2 linked regions of the Arabidopsis thaliana genome follow. The protein of the gene in region 2 purifies or fractionates together with the protein of the main gene of each other region. This does not show direct contact. Each region holds a gene or a part of one and is shown on either strand. Other genes may lie near its edges.

What was found.
Region 1: the proteins of AT3G02200 (region 2) and TPLATE fractionate together in Arabidopsis thaliana (co-fractionation; one large-scale study listed by BioGRID). This does not show direct contact.

Annotation. Positions count from the first base shown.
Region 1 is NC_003074.8:275,334-282,797, forward strand, and holds the start of TPLATE (ARM repeat superfamily protein), read left to right. Parts: upstream 1-3,548; 5' UTR 3,549-3,837; coding exon 3,838-4,971; intron 4,972-5,075; coding exon 5,076-5,672; intron 5,673-5,840; coding exon 5,841-6,202; intron 6,203-6,290; coding exon 6,291-6,594; intron 6,595-6,696; coding exon 6,697-6,819; intron 6,820-6,976; coding exon 6,977-7,426; intron 7,427-7,464. Other genes in the region: BET10 (bromodomain and extraterminal domain protein 10), read right to left, coding at 249-509, 600-721, 819-885, 970-1,085, 1,169-1,252, 1,678-1,761, 1,848-1,896, 1,974-3,053. UniProt on the Arabidopsis thaliana protein: Functions in vesicle-trafficking events required for site-specific cell wall modifications during pollen germination and for anchoring of the cell plate to the mother wall at the correct cortical position.
Region 2 is NC_003074.8:402,582-410,045, reverse strand, and holds AT3G02200 (Proteasome component (PCI) domain protein), read right to left. Parts: upstream 3,459-7,464; 5' UTR 3,355-3,458; coding exon 3,262-3,354; intron 2,986-3,261; coding exon 2,856-2,985; intron 2,766-2,855; coding exon 2,627-2,765; intron 2,544-2,626; coding exon 2,331-2,543; intron 2,212-2,330; coding exon 2,073-2,211; intron 1,978-2,072; coding exon 1,827-1,977; intron 1,755-1,826; coding exon 1,645-1,754; intron 1,567-1,644; coding exon 1,469-1,566; coding exon of another isoform or gene 1,465-1,468; intron 1,389-1,464; coding exon 1,319-1,388; intron 1,238-1,318; coding exon 1,127-1,237; 3' UTR 846-1,126; downstream 1-845. Other genes in the region: COBL1 (COBRA-like protein 1 precursor), read left to right, coding at 38-318, 405-694; AT3G02190 (Ribosomal protein L39 family protein), read left to right, coding at 3,704-3,706, 3,797-3,900, 3,993-4,041; SP1L3 (SPIRAL1-like3), read right to left, coding at 4,589-4,687, 4,788-5,057.

The DNA.
Region 1 (7,464 bases), 130 kb from region 2:
AGGCTCTATTACCAAACTCGAGTGTAAATCTATAGAATTAACTCTGAGACATGCTCCCTCTCTCTCTCGGTGCTGTCGGTCATTGGTTTATTGAATTAACCAAAATTTTACTCACTACACAAAGTGTTATTGATTGTTTACTCGGATAAAATGCCATCGCATTGGTTAAATATCAATCTAACTATCATTTTTTACAACAACTCATGTACACTTGACTGCTGTTATCCAAGACACAACACTCATGAATCTCAGTCGATTTCACCCTCTTCTACTTCATTGCCGGGATCTGGAAACGCAAGCATGTCGGATTCATCTTCATCCTCCTCATGTTTCATAAATAGCCCCAGCTGCTCTAGAGGATTACTTCCTCCAAACCCAAATACAGCCAACCCATCAGACTCAGAGCCAACATCTCTTAGATTTCGTAACTGGTCCGTGTTAACCGTTTTGAGCAGTTCTAGGTCCTTGAGAAACCTTGTGTTCTCATTTATTTCAACCGACTTCTCCATCTGGTGTACCATTCAGTCATGGCAATGATCAATATACATGTATTGCAGTTTATAAAACCAAACTGGTACAAGGCAGCAATTTTGATTTACCTCAAGCAATGCCTGCCGGGCTGCTTCTCTTTCAAGTTCCAGTTTCCTCTTAGCCTCTTGTGCCTCAGCTTTTCTACGAGCTTCTTCAGCTTCCTTGGCTTCTGCTTGTAACCGTGCTTTTTCTGGTGCACAAAACAATAAGAGGACAAGTTTATGTACGTATATACTACTTGGTATATATCATCAATCAAAAAATCGAAACTAGCAAATCAAGAATACCTTTCTTCTTTTGCAATTCCAGTTCTTCCTTCTCACGTTGCAGTGTCTCTGGGTCTCGTTTCTCATTCTGATCTCACAAATATAATTTTGAAAGTCAAAGAGGGAGGGCTAACCAGATATAACAGCTCACACCTCCACAAACACAGCTAACCTGATTAAGAGTTATCTCTTGAGCCTTCAAGATTATATCCGCAAATCGATTTTTCAATAGAGCAGCCCTGTAACGCTTTTCTGGAGGTAGTTCCTTCTCTTTTGGAGCACTATTTCCTAAATTATTAATGGGTCAAGAGTGAGATGCCACCCTCAGATATTAGAGCACAGATATTTTTCTGCTACACTTCTGAGCTTACCATCTTGATGACCATCTGCCCCCTCAATAAGACTTAGCTTCCCTCTGGATGCATCTTCCATCTGATTCAATCCACCGACGGAATCTGCTTTTAGAAAGGGAATAAGAAAACCAAGGTTTATTAATTAATATCAACAAAACTTAACATCTTTTGCACCAAAAGAGGAGTAATCACTGATTAGAGATAATATGATCACTATAGAAAATAGCAAACAGCGACCTGGGAGTAAAACAAGCAGAAAATGTAACAGGTCTATCACTATCATACTAGGTGTGTAATATGAGTTGCTATCAGTAAGGTCAGTAAGTTTCACTCCAAAAAAACTACAGAAGTAACATTGAGTATTCTAGATGGACGGCCACTTCTGACAAGAGGGAAGTAAAATGGTTCCGAGGGTTAAGTACATATAAGAATTGCAAACATCAAACGTCTGCAAAAGCTCCATAGAGAAAAAGACAAATACAATGTAGCAAGATTAAACAAACCACTGTAGTTCTCTAACGCCATACCTTTTTCTGTTCTGACAGTTGAGATGTGAGATATAGGGTGCTCATAATTACCAATGTCAACATCCTCGTCCTCCAATTCACTCCCTGCAAGTAACGAGGAGGAAATGACAGCTTAATCATAGAGTAGGACATGCGAATTAGCTCAAACAACAAAACCAGTGTATGCTAACCATCACAGTGTTGCGTCAATGAATTTCCTGGCCCTGACCCATGTAAAAGCTACATCAAGAAAGTTTTCGCTGTTTATCAGTCATGTTAACAAATGGATCAAGAATGAGATATAGAAAGGTGATTACCTCTAACACACAGGGTTCACCGTTTGAATCTTTCTTTTGATTTTCTCGCAGAAACTCATCAAAGAGATCCCGCAACTGGAACAAGGCATCATGACTGAGATCATTGATGTCAATCTCTATCTCATCATCTCCAGATCTCTCTTCCTTGGAGCTGTGATCTCTCAGGAAATTTATTATCTGTACAGGGAATTCTGTCAAGGACCCCAAATCTCTGCCAAGCTTTACTCTATCCTCATCTGTCATAACCCGCTTAGCAGGCTCTAAGAGGCTGTTACGTTTCACAGCATTCATCTTTCTCTTCTTAGCCACAGGCTCAGGTATCGCAATATCTTTGTGAGCAAGAGTAGCCAAGTTACTTGGTTCAGATTTGGTTCCGGATGACTTCTTCTCGATAGTTTTCCATCTCACTTCAAAAAACTTGCTGAGAGTATCAGCGAAGCGATACACATTATTATCTGACGGGTTATAAGTCATAGCATTGCGGAAAGTAAGACGGACATCAGCAGAAAACTCTGAAGGGCTTGAATACGTGCCGGAAGTTAACTTGCTTTTAACAGTTCCTAAATCCATAGGATGTTTGATAATGGTGAAATAATCAGGAATGTTGAGCTTGACGACGTCCACAGGGGTATTAAAGAGCCAACAATGCTGCTGCGACATCAATCGTTTAAGGAGGCTCTCACATTGCTTCATCCGAAGCATAGTGGAAGTGGTGACTGGCTCTGGTTTGGTTGCTGTGAAGGGGAGCACCCTTTTTCCAGGGCCAGTAGAGCATCGTGACATTCCAAAACTCTTGGGGCGAGACACATTACTTGCAGGTGTACTAGTAACAATCTTAGATATAGGAAGAAGGTCCCCAACACTCTTCTGAAAGGACCGTAGTTGTTCCAGCTCCTGACGAAGCGTATGAATCCACTTTCTCCTTTCTGATGATGACAAGTCAGACAAGGGTAAAACTATTCTCGGGACACCAAAAGTTTCATCATCCTTGGAAGCATTGGGGCTATCATCACAGCCGCCGGGAGAGTCAAAACTGTTACGATTATAATCTCCTGGGAAACCACCGTTCCTCACAGTCATGATATCGCCCACCGAAGTGCGAACCTGCACAAATCAAAATATTTAAGTCAGTTTTGAGAAACCCTAACTATGAAAACCTGAAAGCAATTCAATTCTTAGAGCCCTATAGTATTGCTGGAGGAGAGCAGTGAACACTCAATATGCATAAAAAAGGAAATTCGGAACTAACCAACTCGAAACACTTAGCAAGCGATCGAACCGGAGCAGAAGTAAGAGAACCGAGGAACAAGCGTAAATCTTCTCCAGCAGAAACAGATTAACGCTAGAGATTGGTGTAGAAGATGATGATGAAGAAGAAGATAGAGTAAAACCCTAGAGTGGAGACGAAGAAGACGACCGAGAAGTAGAGAGAGAACAAAATCGCTCTCTGCCCTCCCTTCTCTAGTGTCCCGTCCCTAACGAATGCTGCGTCTAACGCCGTTTTGCTACTGGGCAGGACTCAATCTGGACCGTCGGATCTGATCCCTCGAATTAAAATCGAATGCAAATACTTCGGTGCATAAAAATAATATCCTGGGCTTATAATGTAAAGCCCAATGAACTTTTTAATGTGCCTTTATTGGGTCTACGGATGACTCAACACGGCACGCTGTGAAAGCTCGAATCGCAGGAACGGCACGCGCTTTTTTCCTTCGAAAACAATTTCTTCTCCTTCTTCTTCAATTGATGGTTTGATTTACACATCCTTCTTCTTCCAGTTCCATGTCGCATACGTACACAGATTGACAGCGAAGCTAGTTAGCTCAGATTTTGGATCTCGAATTTCAGTTAATTCGATCCGGTTATGGACATTCTTTTTGCTCAGATCCAGGCGGACCTCCGTTCAAATGACGCGCTTCGCCAGTCATCGGCGCTTCTTCAGGCGCTGCAGCAATCCGCCGCCGGAAGAGATATCTCTGTGATCGCTAAGTCTGCTGTGGAGGAGATTGTTGCTTCTCCGGCTTCAGCTGTTTGTAAGAAGCTGGCATTCGATCTCATCCGATCTACCCGCCTCACTCCGGATCTTTGGGACACCGTTTGCTCAGGTGTCAAAACGGATCTTCATTTTCCGGACCCGGATGTTACCGCCGCTGCCGTCTCCATCCTTGCGGCTCTCCCTGCCTTCTCGCTTCCTAAACTCATCTCTGATTGCAGCTCTGAGATTGCTTCCTGCTTCGATTCTCCATCTGACAACCTTCGTTTTTCCATCACCGAGACACTTGGCTGCATCCTCGCGCGTGATGATCTCGTTACTTTGTGCGAGAACAATGTGGGTCTCCTCGACAAGGTCTCCAACTGGTGGGCTCGGATCGGCCAGAACATGCTCGACAAATCCGACGCCGTCTCCAAGGTTGCCTTTGAGTCCGTCGGCAGACTCTTCCAGGAGTTCGACTCCAAGCGGATGAGCCGTCTTGCTGGCGATAAGCTCGTTGACAGCGAGAACTCCCTCGCCATCAGGTCCAAGTGGGTCTCTTCCATGGTTGACATTGTATGGAGAAAGAGGAGCGCTTTGATGGCTAGGTCTTTAGTCCTTCCTGTCGAAACCTTCAGAGCCACTGTTTTCCCTCTTGTCTTTGCTGTCAAAGCTGTTGCTTCCGGTAGTGTCGAAGTGATTAGACAGCTTTCCAAGGCTTCCTCTGCTGCTGCTGCAGCTAATGCCACCGTTGTGGACTCCAACGCCGAGAAGCTGGTTGGCGTCTCAGATTTGGTTACCCATTTGGCGCCATTCTTGGCTTCCTCTTTGGATCCAGCTTTGATTTTTGAAGTGGGAATTAACATGCTCTACCTGGCAGATGTTGCCGGAGGCAAGCCAGAGTGGGCTTCACAGTCCATTATTGCAATTTTAACACTCTGGGACCGCCAAGAATTTTCCTCTGCTAGAGAGAGTATAGTCAGGGCCGTTGTTACGAACCTGCACTTGCTTGATCTGCATATGCAGGTATGTCGTTTTTTACTTCATTTAAGCTCGGTTAGTTGTGTACCTTTGTCTTGAAGCTGTGGCCTATGATTTCTGAATCATTCTTTTTGGAATTTGTTACGAAGGTTTCGTTGTTTAGAAGACTGCTGCTTATGGTGAGAAACTTGAGAGCAGAATCGGACAGGATGCACGCATTAGCCTGTATCTGTCGGACAGCTCTCTGTGTTCACCTTTTTGCCAGAGAAAGTGCCCGAAGAGGTCAGAAGCCTCTGCCTGGGACAGATATTATTTCTCTCTTTGAAGATGCAAGGATTAAAGATGATCTCAATAGTGTTACCAGTAAGAGCTTATTTCGGGAAGAGCTGGTGGCAATGCTTGTGGAAAGCTGCTTCCAGTTGTCTCTACCTTTGCCTGAACAAAAAAACTCGGGTATGGAGAGCAGAGTGATTGGTGCGTTAGCATATGGTACTGGTTATGGTGCTCTGAACTGGACAGAACCAGCCCTTGAGGTTGTGGAAGTTTGTAGGCCTTGTGTCAAATGGGATTGTGATGGCAGGACGTACGCTGTAGATTGCTATTTGAAATTGCTTGTTAGGCTGTGCCATATCTATGATACCCGTGGAGGAGTGAAGAGGCTGAAAGATGGTGCTTCCCAGGATCAAATATTAAATGAGACACGATTGCAGAACTTGCAACGTGAGCTTGTTAAGGATCTCCAAGAGGTAATTAAGCCTCAGCTGAAAGTTAGAAGTAACCCTTGGCAATTTTCCTCGAAGAATTTTAGTTAGGCTTTCTTAAGTACTATTTAATACTAAATGTGGAGGAGAACTATTGCTTGTGGACTGAAACGTGGTCAATGTCTTATAAAAATCTTGATCTCAATTTGGCAGGTAAATACCCCAAGAATCCTCGGGCGTCTTATATGGACAATCGCAGAACATATTGATCTAGAAGGTCTAGATCCACTTTTAGCTGATGACCCCGATGATCCATTGAATATTATCATAGCAAACATACATAAGGTTCTCTTCAACTTGGATGCCGCTGCTACTACATCGAATAGGCTACAAGATGTTCAGGCAGTCTTATTATGCGCCCAGAGGATGGGATCGCGTCATGCAAGAGCTGGCCAGTTATTAACCAAAGAGCTTGAAGAGTATAGGAACCATGCTGCTGCAGATACAGTTAGCAAACATCAAACCCGTTTAATATTGCAGAGGATCAAATATGTTTCAAATCTTCCTGAAAGAAAGTGAGCTTTCCCTTGGCTTGTAATCCTTTTATTATGTGAGTTTTACTGCATTTCTGGATTGGAACTCAGACAACCTATTATTTTCCAGGTGGGCTGGAGTTAGTGAGACAAGAGGAGATTACCCGTTTAGCCACCATAAGCTTACTGTTCAGTTTTACGAACCATCAGCTGCTCAAGACAGGAAATTAGAAGGTCTAATTCACAAGGCCATTCTCGAGCTTTGGAGGCCAAAGCCCACTGAATTAACTCTCTTCCTTACAAAAGGGGTCGACTCAACTTCTATCAAGGTTCCTCCCACAGCATATCCTTTGACCGGAAGCAGTGATCCTTGCTATATAGAAGCTTACCATTTAGCAGATACAAATGATGGAAGGGTCACTTTGCACTTGAAGGTTGGTATATATTCTACTGTATCATCCTGCAGTTACTTGAATACAGTTTTAGTGGATAAAGTTTTAGCGTCTCAACACCTTATACTTTATGTTACCTTTCAGATTATTAATTTGACAGAACTTGAACTGAATCGTGTGGATATACGGGTTGGATTATCTGGTGCCCTATACTTCATGGATGGCTCTCCTCAAGCAGTGCGGCAGTTGCGTAATCTTGTCTCACAGGTTGCATGTCATTCTTCAGTGCTTATATACTCCCATCTCTTTACAGTTCTCTAATTTCTTAAGTCTTGTCAGTTGGAAACCGTTTCTGTTCTTACCAATCAATCAGTTTCGTATATGTTAGCTGTATTATCATGGACTCTGTGATTTACTTTTGTAGGATCCTGTACAATGCAGTGTCACCGTTGGTGTGTCCCAATTTGAAAGATGTGGTTTCTGGGTTCAAGTCCTCTACTATCCATTCCGTGGTGCTAGGGGAGAATATGACGGTGACTACATAGAAGAGGATCCACAGATCATGAAGCAGAAGAGAGGTTCAAAAGCAGAACTCGGAGAGCCTGTGATCTTAAGATGTCAGCCTTACAAGATCCCACTGACTGAGCTTCTTCTACCGCACAAAATCTCACCAGTCGAGTTCTTTCGTTTGTGGCCTAGCTTGCCAGCTGTTGCAGAGTACACTGGCACATATATGTATGAAGGAAGCGGCTTCATGGCGACCGCCGCACAACAGTATGGGGCTTCACCATTTTTAAGCGGACTCAAATCATTATCCTCGAAGCCATTCCACAGAGTCTGTTCCCACATTATACGCACAGTTGCTGGCTTTCAGGTGAACTTGGTTCTGTTATTCTTCTTGTTCCTTAACTG
Region 2 (7,464 bases):
TGTTTGGTTAATTTTGGTGTCTTGTCTGTCCACACAGCCCAAAAGGTCCACGGATAGCATCAGTCATTCCAAATCCGGGGAAGAACGCATATATACCGCCTCTGGTCCAATGTACAAAGCATATGTGTCCAGTTAGAATCCACTGGCATGTGAAAGTCAACTACAAACAGTACTGGAGAGTTAAAGTCACCATCACAAATTTCAACTACAACATGAACTATTCACAGTGGAATCTCGTCGTGCAGCATCCGAATTTCGACAATCTAACTCAGACTTTTAGCTTCAACTATAAACCTCTGACTCCTTATGCTTCCATAAGTAAGTACACCATCATCTATCAGTCCCTTGTTTCTATAGAAAGGAACAAATCTTGATGTGTTTTTTTTGTTTTTGATTTGATATAGATGATACTGGGATTCTCTGGGGAATAAAGTTCTACAATGATCTGTTGATGCAAGCTGGGCCATTTGGTAATGTACAATCTGAGCTACTTTTCCAGAAAGAAGCATCAGCTTTCACATTTGAGAAAGGTTGGGCGTTTCCAAGAAGAATCTATTTCAATGGAGATAACTGTGTGATGCCTCCTCCTGATTCTTACCCTTGGCTGCCCAATACCGGCTCGCACAAATCAGTCGGTTCCCTGTTTGCAGCAATGGCCTTGTTACTGATTGTGTTCCTACATGGAAACTTGTAAGAATCATCAAGTGTAGAATTCTTCTGCTGCAGTTTTTCGAACTGATATAACCCATCAAGAGAGAGTTGGTAGCTTAGTTTTTTGTGTTCTCTCTTGTCTGTCCTCTTCCTGTACAACGCTTTAATATTAGATGGTTAACTAGATCCCCTTGAAAATGGCTACCACTTCTTTGTTCTCTATCTCCATGTTGGGAAGTAAAAGATATTCAGTATAAACTTTTGAAATAGTGTGTAGCATCAAGTTAAGAAACATTACTAGCAAAAAATAATGTATAGGAAAAGTCTCCGCATATGTTTCAGGGACAAAAAAAAGATTCAAAGATCAAAAAAACCCTGCAGCCAAATACACAGAGAAAAAGCTTTAAGGAAGACAAAAGATTCGTTATAGAATTGAGCTTCTCTGGGGATGAAACGGTTTTTCTTGATAGCTTTTTCAACGAACACTCAAGCCTTGAATAGCTGCAGCAGATGATGATGATGCCTGAGAACCTTCCTCCGTTACCTTATTCGATTCGATGGTAGTTATGATACTTGAAATGTTGTCCTACACAACCACACATAAGAATCAGATTCAGGAGATGTTTTGTAATAAAATTCTGTAATAAGTGAAAGCTTTTGTAGTTACCTTCCAAGTCGCAAGCTTTGTTCGGAGAGATTGCCATTGCTTTGTCCCAAATTCACGTTCGGAAGAGCGGCTGTAAGATATGAATCAAACCATCAAATAATGAATGTTGCGTTTAGATAAGTGCAGAGTTTCAATAGATGTGTGACTTGCCTGACAATTAAAACTTGGTTCATCTGATCCATCTTACACTCAATCAGTTTTGCAGTTATTGCCTTCACGATCCATAACTCGACATCCTGTTCATTTACCTGAAAACGAAAAGAAAAATGAGAAACTAAAAGGGTCTCAATATTTCATGTTAAGTGCAAGCAGAGGAGAGTTTTTACCTGAAGAGTGTCTTTAATCGAGGTGTAAGGTATTTTGCCAGATTCATCTGAGGCCAAATCCACTAGTGACAACAACCTCATCTTCGTAACACAATCTTCATTGGAAAGTCCTAGAAACACCACAGGATTCATCAGGAGATCATATTTCAGCAAAAACAGTTAGTGAGTTAACAATGTAGTACCATAGCTTTGCAGAAATCCCGAATTTGCATTTTGGAATTCCGTGTAGGCATTTAACCTCTGAGTAAGAAAAATCTTCAGAAGTTGGTAAACAGGTGCATATTTAGCATCCTTTTCCAATTGTGCTACGGCTGGCAAGTCCAATAAATCACACTGCAAGATTTAAGATTGCCATCGTTGAAATTCCAATCAAATATAAAAGAGCAGTGTCAGGACAAGAAAGACAAATCCAATTCACATTATGATACCTGGAAAATACTGGAAGCTTTGACAAATTCGATAACTGCACGCACAGCCTCCTCCTTGGCTTCATCCAGGACCTGAGCATCCTCATTGGAGAAAGTTGCTAGGTACTTCGTCAAGAACTTAAGGGATTCATTCACCAAGCTGGAGTATTAATAGAAAAAACCATGAGGCTATTGTTATACCCAAACGGAAACAAAAAAAGAAAGAGACAGAGAATGACTGATGAGCATAGTTATAAAGTATAAATTATGTTTCAATACCTTTTGTTTTCTTTCAGCACATTAGCAATGGCAAGAAAGAGTTCCCTCTGATCTTTAATGTCAATATTCCACTCTTTCAGAAAGTTATCGATCTTCTTAAAAGAAGAAACTATGTACTCAGTAACCTTCCCATCAACAGCTAGTGTAAGAGCTTTCATGTATACTTGAAATCGAGCATACGGGTGGTCAACCAGGTTATAGAGATTGAAGAGGCTACACAAAGATTAAGACAAAAAAAAAATGAGAAGTGTGATAAATGAGCAAAGCATTCAGAAATAAGCAGAAACGATTCATACATCTTCAAACGAAGTGAAGCTTTGTCACTGGGTTGTTGAGCAACCTTGGAAGCTATAGCTTTCACCATTTCAAGGACTTGCTCAGGGCTTTTCGCATTCTTGACAATGCTGCAAATGATGGTGTAGGTACACTCAAGATCTGAATTAAAAAAAGATGCAAATCACTGAGAATTGAATACTCGAAAGACATACAAAATAAACAGGTATAAGTAAGAATAGGAACACAAACCTTTCTCAGATATCTTAGAAGATACCAATTCAGCTGAAGTGACCATTAACGAAGACAATTCAAGCCACTTCTCTGCTACCATTGACTCCTCAGCCTCCCTACAGAGCCTGGTAATTTCTGGCTCTGCTGCCTAAAATTTGAAACGATAACTAGTTAAGTACAGGCAAGCCTTGAAAACTTAAGAAGTCGCTTAATGAAACTAATCTTAGATGGTTGAACTAATCGGATGCATCAGAATCCTCAAAGATTACAAACTATTCTAGTCCAGAAACTATCAACAAACCCTTCCATAACCAATCAGATTCTTCGAACGAAACAACATATACCAGATCAAATTTCCCATCTCACTTAAGATAGACATTCTTAAATTCCCACTATAAATTCACAACCAAGGTGTGGAGGTTACCTCGGGACCAGCATCGGCCCAGGCGAGCTGGGAAGTGAATCGGACAACAGCGAGAAAGGGATTTTCTTCGGAGGTGGGAACAATCGTCGTCATAGCTTAGCTCCGGTTTCGAATCTTCTCGGCTGCGCTGAAGAACAAATGCACCACAATTACAACTTGTTTCAGCAGCCGACCAGCAGAGACAAGAGAGAGAGAAGAAAATGAAACCCTAAATCTCTATATTTTTTTCTTTTCCGGTTAAAGGTAACCGGAACCGAATACGATTCCTAAATTAACGGTTTACCTATCTGACGGCTAATAAATTATGAGAAAACTCCAACGGTCAGGATTGAGCTCTAGTCCACAACCCTTATAAAAATCGATTTCTTCCTCAGTTAACATTTGAGAAGATTAGGGTTTAAACGCTGCCGTGTTCCGCCGGATCGCCACCGTTGAAGTCAAGATGGTACTTTTACTCTCTCCCTCTCTGTATCCTTTGTTCTATCTCTCTTAAATATTTCCTTCGCCTGATCGATTTCATGGTCTCTGATATTAGCCGTCGCACAAGTCGTTCATGATCAAAAAGAAGCTAGGGAAGAAGATGAGACAGAACAGACCGATCCCTAATTGGATCCGTCTCCGTACTGATAACAAAATCAGGTTTATAGATTTTCGTAAACTTTTTTCATTCGATCCGTGAAAAAGTTGCAGACTTTGATACTGAGTTCCATTGTTCCATCACCTTCACACAGGTACAACGCTAAGCGTAGGCACTGGCGCCGTACCAAGCTAGGATTCTAGAGCACTCTCACCGTGACTCAGATTCGTCCGAGTTTCTTAATTGCTTTCTTGTATCGGAATTGTGGTCTTTGACCCCTAAAAGTTTTAGTTTTTTGTTAAGGATTTTGTGGCTTATAGCTATGTTTAAATCTTAGAACTTGAAGAAGAGTGCATGATTATGAATTATAATAGTTGAATCCTTTCTCCTACAATTGGTCGTTGATTTGACTCTGTTTCTTTCTACTCTATGATAAAACGTAAGTATATGGCTGAATTCGAATCATTTCTCCTACGATTGATCAGAGCTTTGAACATGGCTGATTCAACGCAAGATCTTGTGGGCATTGTTTGTTTCATTTGATATAGATCTCTTGGTTGATCAGTACTTAGTTTATTTTCTTGGAACTCTTAAAGAGAACATTGTCTGAAAATTCCTTTTAACAAGACAAAGAAGAGAACAAAAGGCAAACATCACAATTGAATCACACAGGGTTCACTAAGGGATAAAAGCCAACACTTTTGATGATTTACACGAATCTGAATAGTGGGAAAAAAACTACAAGTAACTTCATTTGTTTCCAGATCCAGCAGGACTTGGTCCTCCAAACAGATAATCAAGAGAAGATCCTCCACCAGGAGCTGCATGAACCTTAGTAGATGGCCTGTCCTGTTCTCATCAACAAACATTTTTGGTTTTTATCAGTTTCCAAATCAAAAGTCAATTCTTTGATCTCAAAACTTTGTAAAGACTAAAGATCTCCTGTTACCGTGAGAAAGTTTCCACAGTTTTGGCCTTCTGATCTGAAGTAATTATTAGGACTTCCTCTAACACCTGCAGATGTCTTCTTGTTATCAGTGACTGTGGTCGTCGTGGTGGTTATCGGTCTGCCTCCGGTCCCATCGGTGGTAGTTGTGGTGGTTGTAGTAGTAGTAGTCCCCATTGTGGCAGCAGCAGCGGAAGAAGGCTGGCCGGAACCAAAAAGATAACCGAGAGAACTTTCATTCACGCCATTGTTCACTCCTCTTGCTTTACCCATCTTGTCAAGATCTGAATTTTGAAAATGTTTTATTAAGTTTGTTTATTTATCAGATCAGATCAGATCAGTTAAATGTGAGCAAGAAGATCCCAAAAAAGATTATCATTGAATCATTAAAGACACGTAATAAGAGAGATCTAAAGGATTGATTTTTATTTACCTCTCTCTGTCTCTGTAGTGTATCTTCTGCTTTCTCTACTTCTTGTTCTATGATTGGCCGATAATCAAGGAAGAGAAACAGATGGAATATGGATATGCACCGAGAGGAAAATGAGGAACACAAAAAGTATCTCGAATGGGCTTATACGGGCTTTGATTTGGGCTTTTGGTAATTCCATAGACATAGAACAAAGTTTCATAGGTTGTAGGAATAATTTTGGGCTTATGTAATTCTATAGACATGCATGACGAAGAACTTTTTTGAAATAACATGCATGGAGGAGGCAATTTCTAAGAAGAAGCAAAAGTAGGCGAGAATAATGAGACGCATTTTCATTTGATAATTTCTGACACGAAAGAAGAAACTTAACCACATTGTGTGAACCCATGACTTTGAGGATCATGCATCATCAGAGTTTGTACGATTTCATCATCCTACGGACGAGATTTCCTCGTTGACTTCTCTGAAGATTTTAGGTGATGTTGAAAGATGGCAATGACGACACATGAAACTGAAGTCTCAAATCTCCCTTTGAATCTCTCTTTTGCTTTTACATTTTGCGCCAGTTCTTCTTCTATTTTTAATTAGTACAATTTTTTTTGTTAAAGTGTGATTCCTATATCGTTTACATATTTTATATATACGTGAATGTGAATATCATCATCAATTAGGAATGAAAGTTTAGTTTACAAAAACGCTTTTAAGGCAGAATAGTTGCTTGCCAACGAAAAAAAAAAACAATCTGTTACTAATAAGTTTGTGATCTTTAGTCATAGTTTTTTTTTTTTCAAAGCATGTTCAATGTGTAGTGTGGGCTAGGGAAGAACATTCAATATTTAAAATGTTAAAAAGTCAAAAGAAAAATCTTCTGTTTCTTTCATTACATGACATTGATTATCAATTTTATTGGCAAGGATAATAAGAAGATAAGAAAAAAAGAAAAAAAAAAGTTCTAGCACTTGTTATCGGCAGAGAAAGTATATGATACTCTTACATGGTTTCCATACTTCATCTTTTGTAATTGCAGTACCCCACATTTTGCTGTGTAATTGTGCATTTTATTCTTTTCATATTATGGTTACATTCTTTTTCCCATGTGTTGAACAAAAGTATTATTTTAAGGAAATTTCGAGAAAATGAGATTTTAACAAACTCCAAGGTACATGAACTTGAGAGACCTTATGGGTTTAGAGAGTTAAGGCCCATCTGATTGACGCAACTCAATAAGATTTTTCTTCTGGTATATTGGAACCTAACGAAATATATAGGAGAATAGTATTAGTACGTATATTGGAACCAAATAATATATATAAAATATGAGTCAGTCTCTTTGTTACCAAATATTCTTGAGCTCGAAATCATAAACCTTAACATTTACGTTTTGGTGTTAACTAAGACCAACGTCAATTAAAGACCGATGAGCGATGACATTACAATAGGGACTGTTATTGGAACTTTTTCTTTTTATTTTGGGTCTTCCCTAATATTAGATCCGTCGCATGTGACATAAATTTTAATAGTTATAACTAACGTAATCATGATGAAGAAAGGAATCTTGACTAAGCTCCTCATTTAACTATCTAAATCTTTAGTGATGTATAGATTTAATAATAAACTTCATTGTTTTTAGGACGAAAGATGAATCATTTTCAGCTTGTAGTTTGTTACTTTTAGTTTTCTAAAAGCACATTTAAGTAAATAGTATAGAGTATAATTGATGTCTATACAAGTCAGTGAATACAAATTTAGACAAATATGTGGGCATAAACAAAGCCAGAGAAATCGTACTAATGATTTGTGATACGTTATTTTTCTTATAAGTTTTTTTTTTTTTTTTTTTTTTTTTTTACTTCTTAGGCATTAATAGAAGAACTATATAAAATTACTCCCCTGAAAAGAAAGATCATTAGATCTAACGAACAAATTATGTATGACTTGAATGCTCTTATATCTATCAAATGTTTGTTATTAAAACTATTATAAATTTTTATACAATGATATGTGTATGTAAAAGCATAATTATGCAAAATTGCAAAGATGTGTATGTAATGCTGGCAGTCAAAATCAAAGAAGAGAAGCCCCACAGAAATTAATGGTGAAATTAAACAAATGTTGGATGGGTGGGTGATAAGTGGGATCATGTGCCAATAATTGAACTAGATAACTTGAACTTTGAAACTTAACGTAAAAGTATACACACTTAACTTTTGATTGATTTTAGTAAATTCTCATTAGCATTTAAAATGC